Linked DNA regions of Schizosaccharomyces pombe. Changing the gene in region 1 together with any one later gene gives a genetic interaction. Each region holds a gene or a part of one and is shown in the gene's direction. Other genes may lie near its edges. The genes, in order: tbc1 and alp1.

Region 1 (4,642 bases):
AGCCGTTGATGTTTCTCCTCTTCGTCGTGTCAACCAAGCTCTTGCTCTTATCACCATCGGTGCTCGTGAGGCTGCTTTCCGTAACGTCAAGTCCATTTCTGAATGCTTGGCTGAAGAAATCATCAATGCTGCTAAGGGCTCTTCCAACTCTTACGCCATCAAGAAGAAGGATGAGCTTGAGCGTGTTGCCAAGAGTAACCGTTAAAAGAGCTACGAAAAAATACTACTGGGTCTTCAACTGGATAGTCCATTTAATAAATGTATTTCATTATCTATGATTTTGTTTTTCACACCTTAAAAATAACGACTGTAGTAATCACGTAGAATATAATATTATAAATATACCGAAATGGCTGGGATGCTTGATTGAGTTTTTTCATTTGAAGGAATGAAGACATATAACAAAAATTCTAAAAAGTGTTGAAACAGATTGCGTTGTATAATTACTTATACTAATGATCGCAAATCTAAGAGAAAAACACAACGGTTTTTCGAAGGTCAATGTTTAAATCAATATGTACTCTTCAATCATGAAAGACTTGCTAAATTTAACGATTAACACAGCATCGAAATGATTAACAGGGATGGAAAATATATACATGCAATGTAAACAAAAAAAAGAGAAAATTAAGCCAAAAAACTTTTGATAACAAATATACACGTATTTAGCGATTGCTAAATACGATAAAAGAGCCCACGAATTCAAGTCGTAGGAAACTTTTTTCTTTCAACCTTTACTGAAGACCCGGCAATGAAAAAAATTTTTTTAGGAACCAAAAAAAGGGGGAGAGAAAAACAAAAAAAACCTTGATCTCTAAGCAGAGGCGTTATGTACAAGACATCTCTTGTAAAACTCTATGACAGAATTAAAAACAACCAAAAGAATACCACCACCAGGGCCCAGACGGAGTACTTTAGGGACAAAACCTTTATACAGGGCTGTAAAACCCTCTTCCCTTGCGACTGTAACTAGAGCTGGATAGGCCCAGTTATATTTTGGAACTTGGCCGGCAATACGAGGAACTGTCTGAATACGCGACTTGATAACGTCAAAGGGAGTGCTGAGGAATGTACCAAATATTCCTCCGATAGTTCCAGCAATAAGGTTATTACGGATTTCACCAATTCTGCTCGAGGCAGGCGTCAATGAATTCCGAATCTTTTGAATTACACCAAAATATCCAGCATTCCAAACGACATGGCGCCACATAGTGGCTTCAAACCCATTGTAAAGAGCTAAAATTCTCTCTTGCTTTACAATTTTAGTAAAGCAGTCGACAGTTCCGTTATACTTAGAAGCATTCTTAACGTCTTGCAAACGAATTTTCATCAGTTCGAAAGGTACGACTACGAACGTTTCAGTAAATCCTGCACATGATCCAGTGAGGATAGAAAGTGCAGGACTTGAATCCTTTCTCTTGAAGACTTTACGCCACAGCTTTGAATAAGTATCGTTGGAAGCAAATTTTAATGCACGCTTAGGAGCCTCCATCAAGATTGGAGGTAAAATTCCACGATACAAACGATGTGGACCCTCATTCTTGACGATCTTTTTGAGACAATCAAAGGTTCCATTGTAGTCTGATTTACCAACGGACAGTTGCATACGAGTTTTAACAACATCCAAAGGATACAAAGTTAGGACCTGAAAAAGAAAGAGTTAGTAAACAAGGCCATGTTAAAGGTTTTAATGGTAAAAGAGAGGTAAAGAGAGATTTAAAAAACATGGGATAAAACTTATAAAGAAGTAATTCGTTCAGCATCTACGGAATCAAACGTTTGCTTTCCTTCATCTCCAAGACAGCTCTTTTACCTTACGCAATTCATTGAGCATTTTGAAGATAATAACATTCTTCTCCGAAAGCCTTCAAACGTATCTTTCAATGAAATAAAGTGCTCCAAATAAAAAACCTTACCTCTGAGATTCCAGCAACTGCGCCGGCAGCAAATGTAACAGGAAATGGAATATTATCATGAGGCATTTTCGATAATATAGTAGTTAAACTTCAATTTTCACACTTAACAAATGCTGCTGGGCGTTGTTGTTAAGGAATGGAAGGCAAACATCTGTTGAGCTCACATACAGGTAAATTTAAGATGATTCTCAATGATAAAAGATAAGAGCCGCTAAAAATATTCATAACGATAAAATCGACAAAACTTCGTTTATTTCCAAATCTTAAAGTCATTTTGAGTTGAGTGAAGATAATTTTCATTTCAAGGCACTGTCTTCTGTACTTCGCCTTTGAAGAGTTGGATTTTTGGTTTCAATTTTAAAAATTCATAATAATTTTTGCACCCGAAGTATCGAAGTTAAGATTAAAACTAATACTGATTTGATGAATTTATTTAAGAATCCTTTTTTTCCCGAGCTGTTTGAATGACTTTTGGTGCAGGTTAAAATTGAAAAAATATATGTTTATTGAATGATCATTGAACACAGCATAACGTACTGTGATTTAATTTTGCATATATAACGGGTGTTTTAGTTCTAATTTAAAAGGAAAAATGTCTGAAAAGTTCGTCGAATTGAGAAAAGGTATGGGTTTATTTACATCTGCAATTTCGTTCATATCGAAAGGTCTGTTTGTTGTGCTATTTACTAACTACTTTTTTGTAGAATTTCTTACCAAATTATATAAATCCACTCCTAGTGAGCAGACTTCTCGCTCCGAAAAAGAGACTTGGCTTGAAGAAAAGTCAAAATATTTAGGTGAAATGACGAGGGAGCTAAATGAAGTTCAAGACCAAATTGCACCATATGACAGGAGAGTATGCATGGAACAACTAGTAGATTTGACACGAAGGCTTCAGCAAATTCGACACGACATTTTGCCCAGACAGCCATTTCGCTTTCAACGGGCACTGCACGTCAAATCGTCCCAGAAACCGGTAAAAAATATTACAGTTAATGCTGAAGCTCCAGAAGTTTATTTTGAAAATGACACCCTGTACTTGGCAAATTTGAAAAACCAAAACATTGGAGATAATGTCATTCCATATCCTAACAACAAAGCTGTCAAAGTTTCCGCAAAAAGTTTACGATCATGCAATATTTCCATATCCAACTGCTCATCTGTGAACTTACATAACGCTACAAAATGCAACTTTACTTTCCCAACCATTCAGGGTTCTATCCATCTTTCTGATATTAACGACTCAACAATCTGTGTATCGTGTCACCAAGTAAGTTTTTTTGATAAATTTGAAGGCATCTAGACGATGGTTTTGATGGAAACTATTAGTTAGACGTAGAGACTGCTATCATTATATTAGGTTGTCAATATTTAGATCCCATATTCTTAGTATGGATCACAACAATGCTGTGTAAACAAAATTGATAATGCTTTCTACTGTTTGATTTTACTTTGCCTTCTGGCCCTTCTTTTGATTGATTATATCGCTAACGCCTTCTAGTTTCGTCTTCACCATTCTACCAACCTTCGTGTGCACCTGCGATGCAAAACATCGCCCGTCATTGAAGAATCAAAGGAGATATCCTTTTCTTATAAAGATGAGCATCCTATTTTGGATTTTACTTGGGCACGCTCTGACCCGTCTCCACATTTTCGTATCACTAGTGACCTTTTTGACGCTTAAAATTCTATATGTATGCACCAAAATCATCCATTAGTAAAAATACGTAACGGTTTAGCTTGGTCTTTTACTGACATACACTCGTTGGTGCTTTTTTTTTTTAATTTAATATTCTTTCGTACGCCTTTCTAATCATTCATGTCATCCATCCATCTTACCACCAAGTCGATTATATCAGTAAATCCTTTGAGATTCCTTGTTTCTCATTTTCGACTTTTTATACCACTTCTTGTCGGAATACATATCTGATCACTAATTGTTATAACCCAAGCCATTGATTTCAATTGGCTTGTTTGGTTTATTGAAAAGAATAGATATCAAAAATAATTTATAACGGGAATTTAGCTTCTGATATGTCACCTAAAACACTCAATTCCCATATTTTTTTTTTAATCTGATTTCTCTACAGATTTTGAATATAGTTGTTACTTGCAAGTAACGATCATTAATAATACCATGGTTTCGATCCATCCTGTACTCTTCCACCACTCTGTTAATTTAAAATCAAAGAGCATTTAGTGGGTTAAAAAACAAAAATACGGAAATTTTTGGGAACGTTCATTAATCACTTTACCTCATTATATACGGGTTGAAAGATATCACAATTCCCATGAGTACTAATTCAAATGTAAGGATAAGCCTTCTTTTTATACTGTTTAAATTCCCTGATATATCAGTCTAACAAATCTATTTTAGCAAAATTCAATTCATACTCCAATACCTGAATTTCCGGAAAACCGGTCTACAAATCGATCGGAATTGGCAGCTGCTTTCGAGCCTCCAGACGACGATGTGGAATACAGTGAAACAGCACCTTTATATAGCTCTGCCAGAGCATCAATAGAAGGAGAAGAAGCTTTTTACCAACATTTATCAACGCCGGATCCTGGCAACGACTCTGGGCATGTACGTAGTAGCAATGATCGAATTCCCAGCACTTCATCAAATCATGCAGATGGCCATCACGTTGATAGTGTCTTCTCTAATTTATCTGCTAAACCCACAGTGGAATCTAATACTGAAGAACTGGAAGAGGAGCCCCCTT
Region 2 (6,390 bases), on another chromosome or scaffold:
ATATGTAAAAGAACGAATGAAAAGGGAGAAAGGAAAGTAAAAATTGAACGAATGAAGAAATAACTCATGCACTTGAAGATGCTTTTACGTGAAATTAACTCCACAGAAACAGCATAATGGTAAATATGAAAAAAAACATGACTTTAGATAACAAATAACCAAAATATTTTGTTTTCTTTGACGAACGACTCAATGTATTTGAGCTAAAGGAAGCAGACAAAAATGCACACAGTAATATCCTAGTGTGCTAATGAAAAATCTAAATGACATGAAAGGCTTTGGCCTTAAAAAAAATTAACAATTTAGGAATATAACAACCCACGTTTGTGTTCACCTAAACGCATCCCACGTTTCGGAGCAGCTTGAGCCCAGCTGTCTCGTCTCCTTAAACCAGCAGTTGGAGTTGCGATTATAGTAGGCTTAGAGGCCGTACTAGCATAATTAGCATACAACGTATACATGTACGTTGGAGATGCAAAGACAGTCGAGGTGGCAATGGGAGGACCTGCAAACGTGGTAAATACGGAATAAGAGGAAGTTTCCCATAGCGGTTGTATGTCGGTCGTAGCAGCAGTAAAAGTAGAATCTGGTCGATTTTGAATAGGTCCTGTACGGAGAACACCGGTAGTTTGAGATAGATACCAATCTCGCATTGTACCTGTAGGCCATACACCAAGAAAAGTGCTAAAACCAGTAAGGGTAGGAACATAAGGATACACACCAAGAGCCATCAAAGACGCATAAATTTCGTAATTATCAAAAGTTCCTGTTAGACCATTAACAGTGAAAAAGTCAGTATAGTCATTAACTATACCACCAGCATATGTAGATTGTGCCCAAAGAAAGTAAAGACGTCCAGCTGGTCCAAAAACCTGAGAAATAGCGAAGGGTCCAGCTTGGGATATAGAAGAAGGACTAGGGGACGTATACAAGACTGCACAAGGTTGAGGAGCATCCATGCTACCACTACATATATAAAAAACTGTGTTGGTTATGTCCTCAAGAGGTATTCCCGTATTAGATTCTTCCCATGAAAACGAAATAGCGGTAAAATCCATACTATCTGTTGTCGCCGGAGTGACGAATCGAATTTGCGCACATACATAATGTATGTATGAGCAGACTAGCAATACTAGCATCAACATGGTGGTTTTCATTAAATTCGACGGCTTGAAGAGACTTTGCAAATTTAGTGGTAAGCGATATATATAAATCGTTGCTCTGACAACAGGGATGTATATCGAAACACCTTATTTGACATGTGTAAACAAATAATCGAGAAAAGTTGGTTTATTGTAAGCTAATAAAAGTGATTTTTTTATTTTTTTTTATTTTTTATTTCATGCAATAAATTTCGGCTTAACTCAAAAATATATATCACGAACAAGCTGGATATAGTTAACACTGAATATGTTTTAACCTGAAACCTCTAATTCAAATTCTCTTCAGTTTAGCAAGTACTTACAATTGCTCTGTAAATTTATGCCGACTAGTTTAAAGGCCAACATCTTGGGAAAATTATTGTAACGTTTGAGAATCTTTAAGTAAAGATCTATTTAAACGATACTGCTATACATTTGTAATATCAAATGCTAGTCTTGTACCAAAAGAATGAATAACATGCGAACTTACTGAATCTATGTCGTGAATATTATGTCTACTCTATGAAATAATTGCGTTAGAGCTGTCAATATATAGGCCCTTTACTACCAGATATGCTTACTGTCTGGCTGTATTCCTAATTCATTCGCAGAAATAATATATCATTTACAAATATCACAGTGGTTGCTCCAAAAGCATTCTTAATAACTGCTCACGTTTAGATTTGAGATTTGAAATATCAGTAGTGGGTACAGATTACACCACCACAATAATTTACCTTTTTATTATCCCACTTTTCATAATGTTTTTCAATATCAAAGCTTGTGAAATTTAATCGTTAATAAATCTTACAGGTCTAAAATTATTCAAACTTGTTTTATTTTCTTATTGGTATCATTTGCAACCTCATGAGTGACAAAGGAGGAAATTGTCCAAGGCAATACAGAAAATTAGGGACCAAGTTTTTTTTTTAGGACGAAAGAAATTCTAAAAGAAAGGAGATTAACATATTTTTTCGCTTTATTCGTTTTTCATAATTTATTCAACACGCGTTAATTGCTTAAAGTCGTTACAGTCAAAAATAATCATAGCATAAATTTTAAACAAAAATGGAAGAAGAAGAATCTTTAGAAGGAATTATTTCTATAGATGAGTCTTTGATAACCTCACGTTTATCGCAAATTCTCGATGATGTTTTAGACGATAGAAGTTCTTCACATTCTGTGGAAAAACTTAAAGACGTCGCTGTTAAATATGTATGTTTAAAAAGATATTGTGACCTTTCTAATTAAAATTCTAGTTGCAATTTTGTCAATTTCAGCCGACATTGCTCGATAAACTACTGAGTAAATACGTTCCAAACTTGGCTAGCTATTTACTGAAAGTGAAAAATATCGGAAAATGTAACTCAATTACCGTTATCCTTTACCAGTTTTGTAAAATAAGAGGATATAAAGCTGTTCGCGTCCTCTTTCCTGTTGGCGTTCAATATATTAAGGAATTATATACATTATTAAATGAATCATCAAATAATACCTGGCATTTTCACTACATAGTTTTACTGTGGCTTTCTCAAGCACTCAATACCCCATTCCCGTTAAATTCATTAGATGATTCCTTGGATGTGAAGAAGACCATTTACACTATAGCAATTAAATACTTAGAAAATTCGGGAATAGACAAAGAAGCTTCTTGTCTTGTTTTGTCCCGATTATTCTCTCGTGATGACGGTTTGGATTTACTTCTAGGCTTTCTACACCACTGTGAGAGTAGTTGGTTTAAGAGAAGTATCTTTTACAAAATTGGGTGTCTTTTTTCCTTATCTTCTTTTCTTAAAATTTGTCCGAGAAATGATTGTCTTCAAACAGTTGATGTTGCGTTTCAGTTTCTGAATGTAGCACGAGAAGATTTAGTTGGACAAGAAAATTCAGCGTTGAGGAAATTATTATGCAAATGTTATACAAGATTGGGAATTGTATTGCTGCCTGTAAATTCATCCCCTAATTGGAAATACTCGATCAGTAACCCAGATAGTTTCTTTCAATTACCTGATGACTCTAACGAAGAAGTACATATATATCTGGAGGTTATTGTTGATTTTTTATTGTCATCTGTAAGCGACATAGACAGTTTTGTACGCTGGTCTGCAGCCAAAGGGCTAGCCAAGATCATAAGTCGTTTGCCCTGGAATTTGGCTGAGCAAGTTATCGATGCCATTATTGAATTGATGACAGAAAATATGTTTTTAAACCCCATAGAAAACACTGTAAACATATCAATTACTTCTCCACTGGTTTGGCACGGAGCTATACTTTTCTTCGCAAAACTAGCAGGTGCAGGTTTAATTAAGTATAGTAAATGTTTACATATTCTTCCATTGATCGAAGTAGTAAGTACACTTTGTTTTCTTATATCATTCTAATCCTTATTTAGGGCTTATCATACGAAGTAAGATATGGAACTAGAGTAACAGGACAAAGCATCAGAGATGCCTCCTGTTATTTTGTTTGGTCATTTTATCATTGCTACTCTAAGTCAGCAATTGAAGGCTTACAAACGAATCTTATTTTATGTCTCTTACAAACGGTATTGTTTGACAATGAAATAAATGTGCGCAGAGCTGCAACTGCTGCTTTATTTGAGGTGATTGGCAGACACGCTTCTATTCCCGATGGGCTTTCTTTGATATCACATATTAACTATGTTTCTGTAACGGATATTTCAAATTGTTATGGTGACTTGTGTATGAAAGTAGCTCATTTTCCTCAGTTTCGTTCCTGTGTTTTCCAAAGACTATTTACAAACCTTCAGCACTGGGACGTGAAGGTACAGCAGCTTTCTGCTTTTTCCCTAAGACAACTTTCTATTAAATATCCCAAAGAGCTAAGCATCTATCTTCCTCCCATACTTGATTATTTGTCTGTTGGTAATGCAGATTTTATTTTTGGCTATACGATTGGATTGGCAAGTATTATAGGTGGATTTTTATCCATAAGCTTCCCGTTCGATATAAATCGTATCCATGATTTACTGTCGCACAAAAACCTACTGTCCTTAAAAAAATTTTCAAGGCAACAGCAAACAAAAATTATTTTGGGAATTTTAAAAGGAATTCAACAAATTTTTGCCAATGATATTCGTGTTGACAGAGCATTTTTCAGTGAAGCATTTTCTGTTATAATCGCTGCTATTGATTTACAGGAGGAAACAATCATAAAAGACATCAGTGACGCTTACAGTGTACTTGTTAAATTTGATGATATGGAAGAAACATTGGAGGTTCTTCTTGACTATATACGAAAATGCTCAACAAGTAAAGAAGCGAGAATTGTATACATTATTCTACAGAATTTACCGAATATAAGTTTTCGATACCAGAAAAAGATATGCAAGCTTTTATTGGATATTTATCCCCAACTCGTAAGTAAAGAATTTTTTCACCAATGTTAACATGAACAGCACTCAATAGACTATCAAGCACCTGTTGCGAATGCGCTTCAAAATATTATTCCCTTTACTTATGAAAAAACAGAAAGCATTGAAGAATTTGTCAAAGAATTACTTCAGGTTTGCTCCAATTATTTGACAGATACCCGAGGAGATGTTGGCTCATGGATTCGCAAACCTGCAATGAAGGCCATTTCCAGTCTATTAGTCAAAGATTCATCTGGAAAAAAATTAAGTGAAGATATAGTTTGGTGTTGTATTTCCTATATTATAAGGCAAACATTTGATAAAATTGATAGTTTGAGGGGTTTGGCATATCAAGCACTCGAACAAATCAGAGTACATTACCTAATCAGAAGATGCGAAGCTTTGACTAATATTATTAATCGTATTAGGTAAAATGAGTTTTCAATTAAAATTCTGCTATTAACCACTAGTTTCAGGAATAATCCAAATATGGATGGAGAGGTACTAAATGAACTGAATATATCTCTGCTAGAAATACCTAATTTAAGGCTTCAAGCTTTTTACGGAATTACAGTATTTACTGCCGATGGTTTTGGCAGTGACTTAGTAAGTTATCATATGCTTCGATGTCTTAATATACTAACTCTACTAGGCAGTTAAATGTTTTGAATTTTATCTAAGTTATGTTTACCAGTTAGAAGATTCGTTTAAAAAATCTAACTCTCGTTATGGTAAACGGGATCTTCTACAACTCTATATAGACATACTTTCTTCGGAGGATGAAATAGCTCGTTTCTATTTTCCAATCATGAAATCTTTCACATCTTTGTTAGCATATGGTTGTTTCACGGACTTTCAAAACGTTAAGGGGTATGTTTTTTTACATTTTGTTCAAAATACTAATGATATCAGCATGTCAAAAGCGATTTTTATTGTACAGAGAAGGGCTCTTACTTGTAAATCACCAGGGGGACTTTCTGCGATACTAGAGTTATATCGGACGCTTTTTCTTTCCAAAAATGAACTTTTGAGGCATCATGCTTTAAAATATACGGCAAACCTACTATTAAACCCGATTGAAAAAGTACGCTACCAAGCAGCCGACACTTTGCTCTATGCGAAGTCAATTGGTTTGCTAACTTTCCTCCCTAATGAATTAAACCAAAAACTACTGACTTTGGATTGGTTCGTACCAGTATCTCAAAACGCAACTTTTGTTAAACAGCTAAGGAATATAATACAGAAACAAATAGATAAACTGATAGCTGATCGATAATAAATTTTGAACTACTTTCAGCTTTTTAAATAGTCGTGTATATGATGTATAAAAACGTTAAAATCTGCAATCAATAAAATATCTGGTGAATAATCTCAAATTTTTAGCCAAAACAGTTCGTGCTTATGTAGTACTAAATTGATGTCCATAAAAGGAACACAACCAATAAAAATTACATTTGAAAATTGAGAGTTGAATTATTATTACCTTCATTAGAATTGTAATTAAAAAGTAAGAGATTAAAGCATAAAACACAAAAACACCATCGTGATAAAAAAATGTATTCATGAGCCGTGAATATAGTAGACAGCACAATACGATGAATAGAATTTACAGTTCCGAACGAGATAGGTCATCCAATTCCTTTTGGTAGTCCATCTTCAAATCCTCCAAACTGTCTTGAACGTGTAGCTTGAAATGTATTATTTCACCAAGCACAAATGCAACCTCTTTATATATATTGTTTTTGTACTCCATGCAAGCATGTGCAATTTGATCCGCTTCGATATTTATACTTTGTATACGCTGGTCTAATTGAAGCATGCTGTTATGCGAAGAAAGTTTGAGCTGTTGTAATTCTCTTTCTAACTTATCCGATT

Evidence for each region.
Region 2: mutations in tbc1 (region 1) and alp1 are lethal when combined (synthetic lethality), as found in Schizosaccharomyces pombe (one study listed by BioGRID).

What each region holds. Positions count from the first base shown.
Region 1 is NC_003424.3:3,492,050-3,496,691, reverse strand, and holds tbc1 (tubulin specific chaperone cofactor C Tbc1), read left to right. Parts: upstream 1-2,119; 5' UTR 2,120-2,508; coding exon 2,509-2,539; exon of another isoform or gene 2,540-2,620; coding exon 2,621-3,186; exon of another isoform or gene 3,187-3,417; coding exon 3,418-3,600; 3' UTR 3,601-4,103; downstream 4,104-4,642. Other genes in the region: rps502 (40S ribosomal protein uS7), read left to right, coding at 1-205; odc1 (2-oxoadipate/2-oxoglutarate transporter), read right to left, coding at 815-1,645, 1,917-1,982; bsd1 (heavy metal ion homeostasis protein), read left to right, coding at 4,208-4,225, 4,294-4,642.
Region 2 is NC_003423.3:3,352,546-3,358,935, reverse strand, and holds alp1 (tubulin-specific chaperone cofactor D Alp1), read left to right. Parts: upstream 1-1,888; 5' UTR 1,889-2,210; coding exon 2,211-2,357; intron 2,358-2,401; coding exon 2,402-3,490; intron 3,491-3,534; coding exon 3,535-4,521; exon of another isoform or gene 4,522-4,560; coding exon 4,561-4,943; intron 4,944-4,991; coding exon 4,992-5,121; intron 5,122-5,167; coding exon 5,168-5,385; exon of another isoform or gene 5,386-5,427; coding exon 5,428-5,791; 3' UTR 5,792-5,890; downstream 5,891-6,390. Other genes in the region: knh1 (KRE9-like protein), read right to left, coding at 303-1,157; protein Ndc80, read right to left, coding at 6,122-6,390. UniProt on the Schizosaccharomyces pombe protein: Has a function in the folding of beta-tubulin. Microtubule-associated protein that is essential to direct polarized cell growth and to position the nucleus and septum to the center of the cell during mitosis.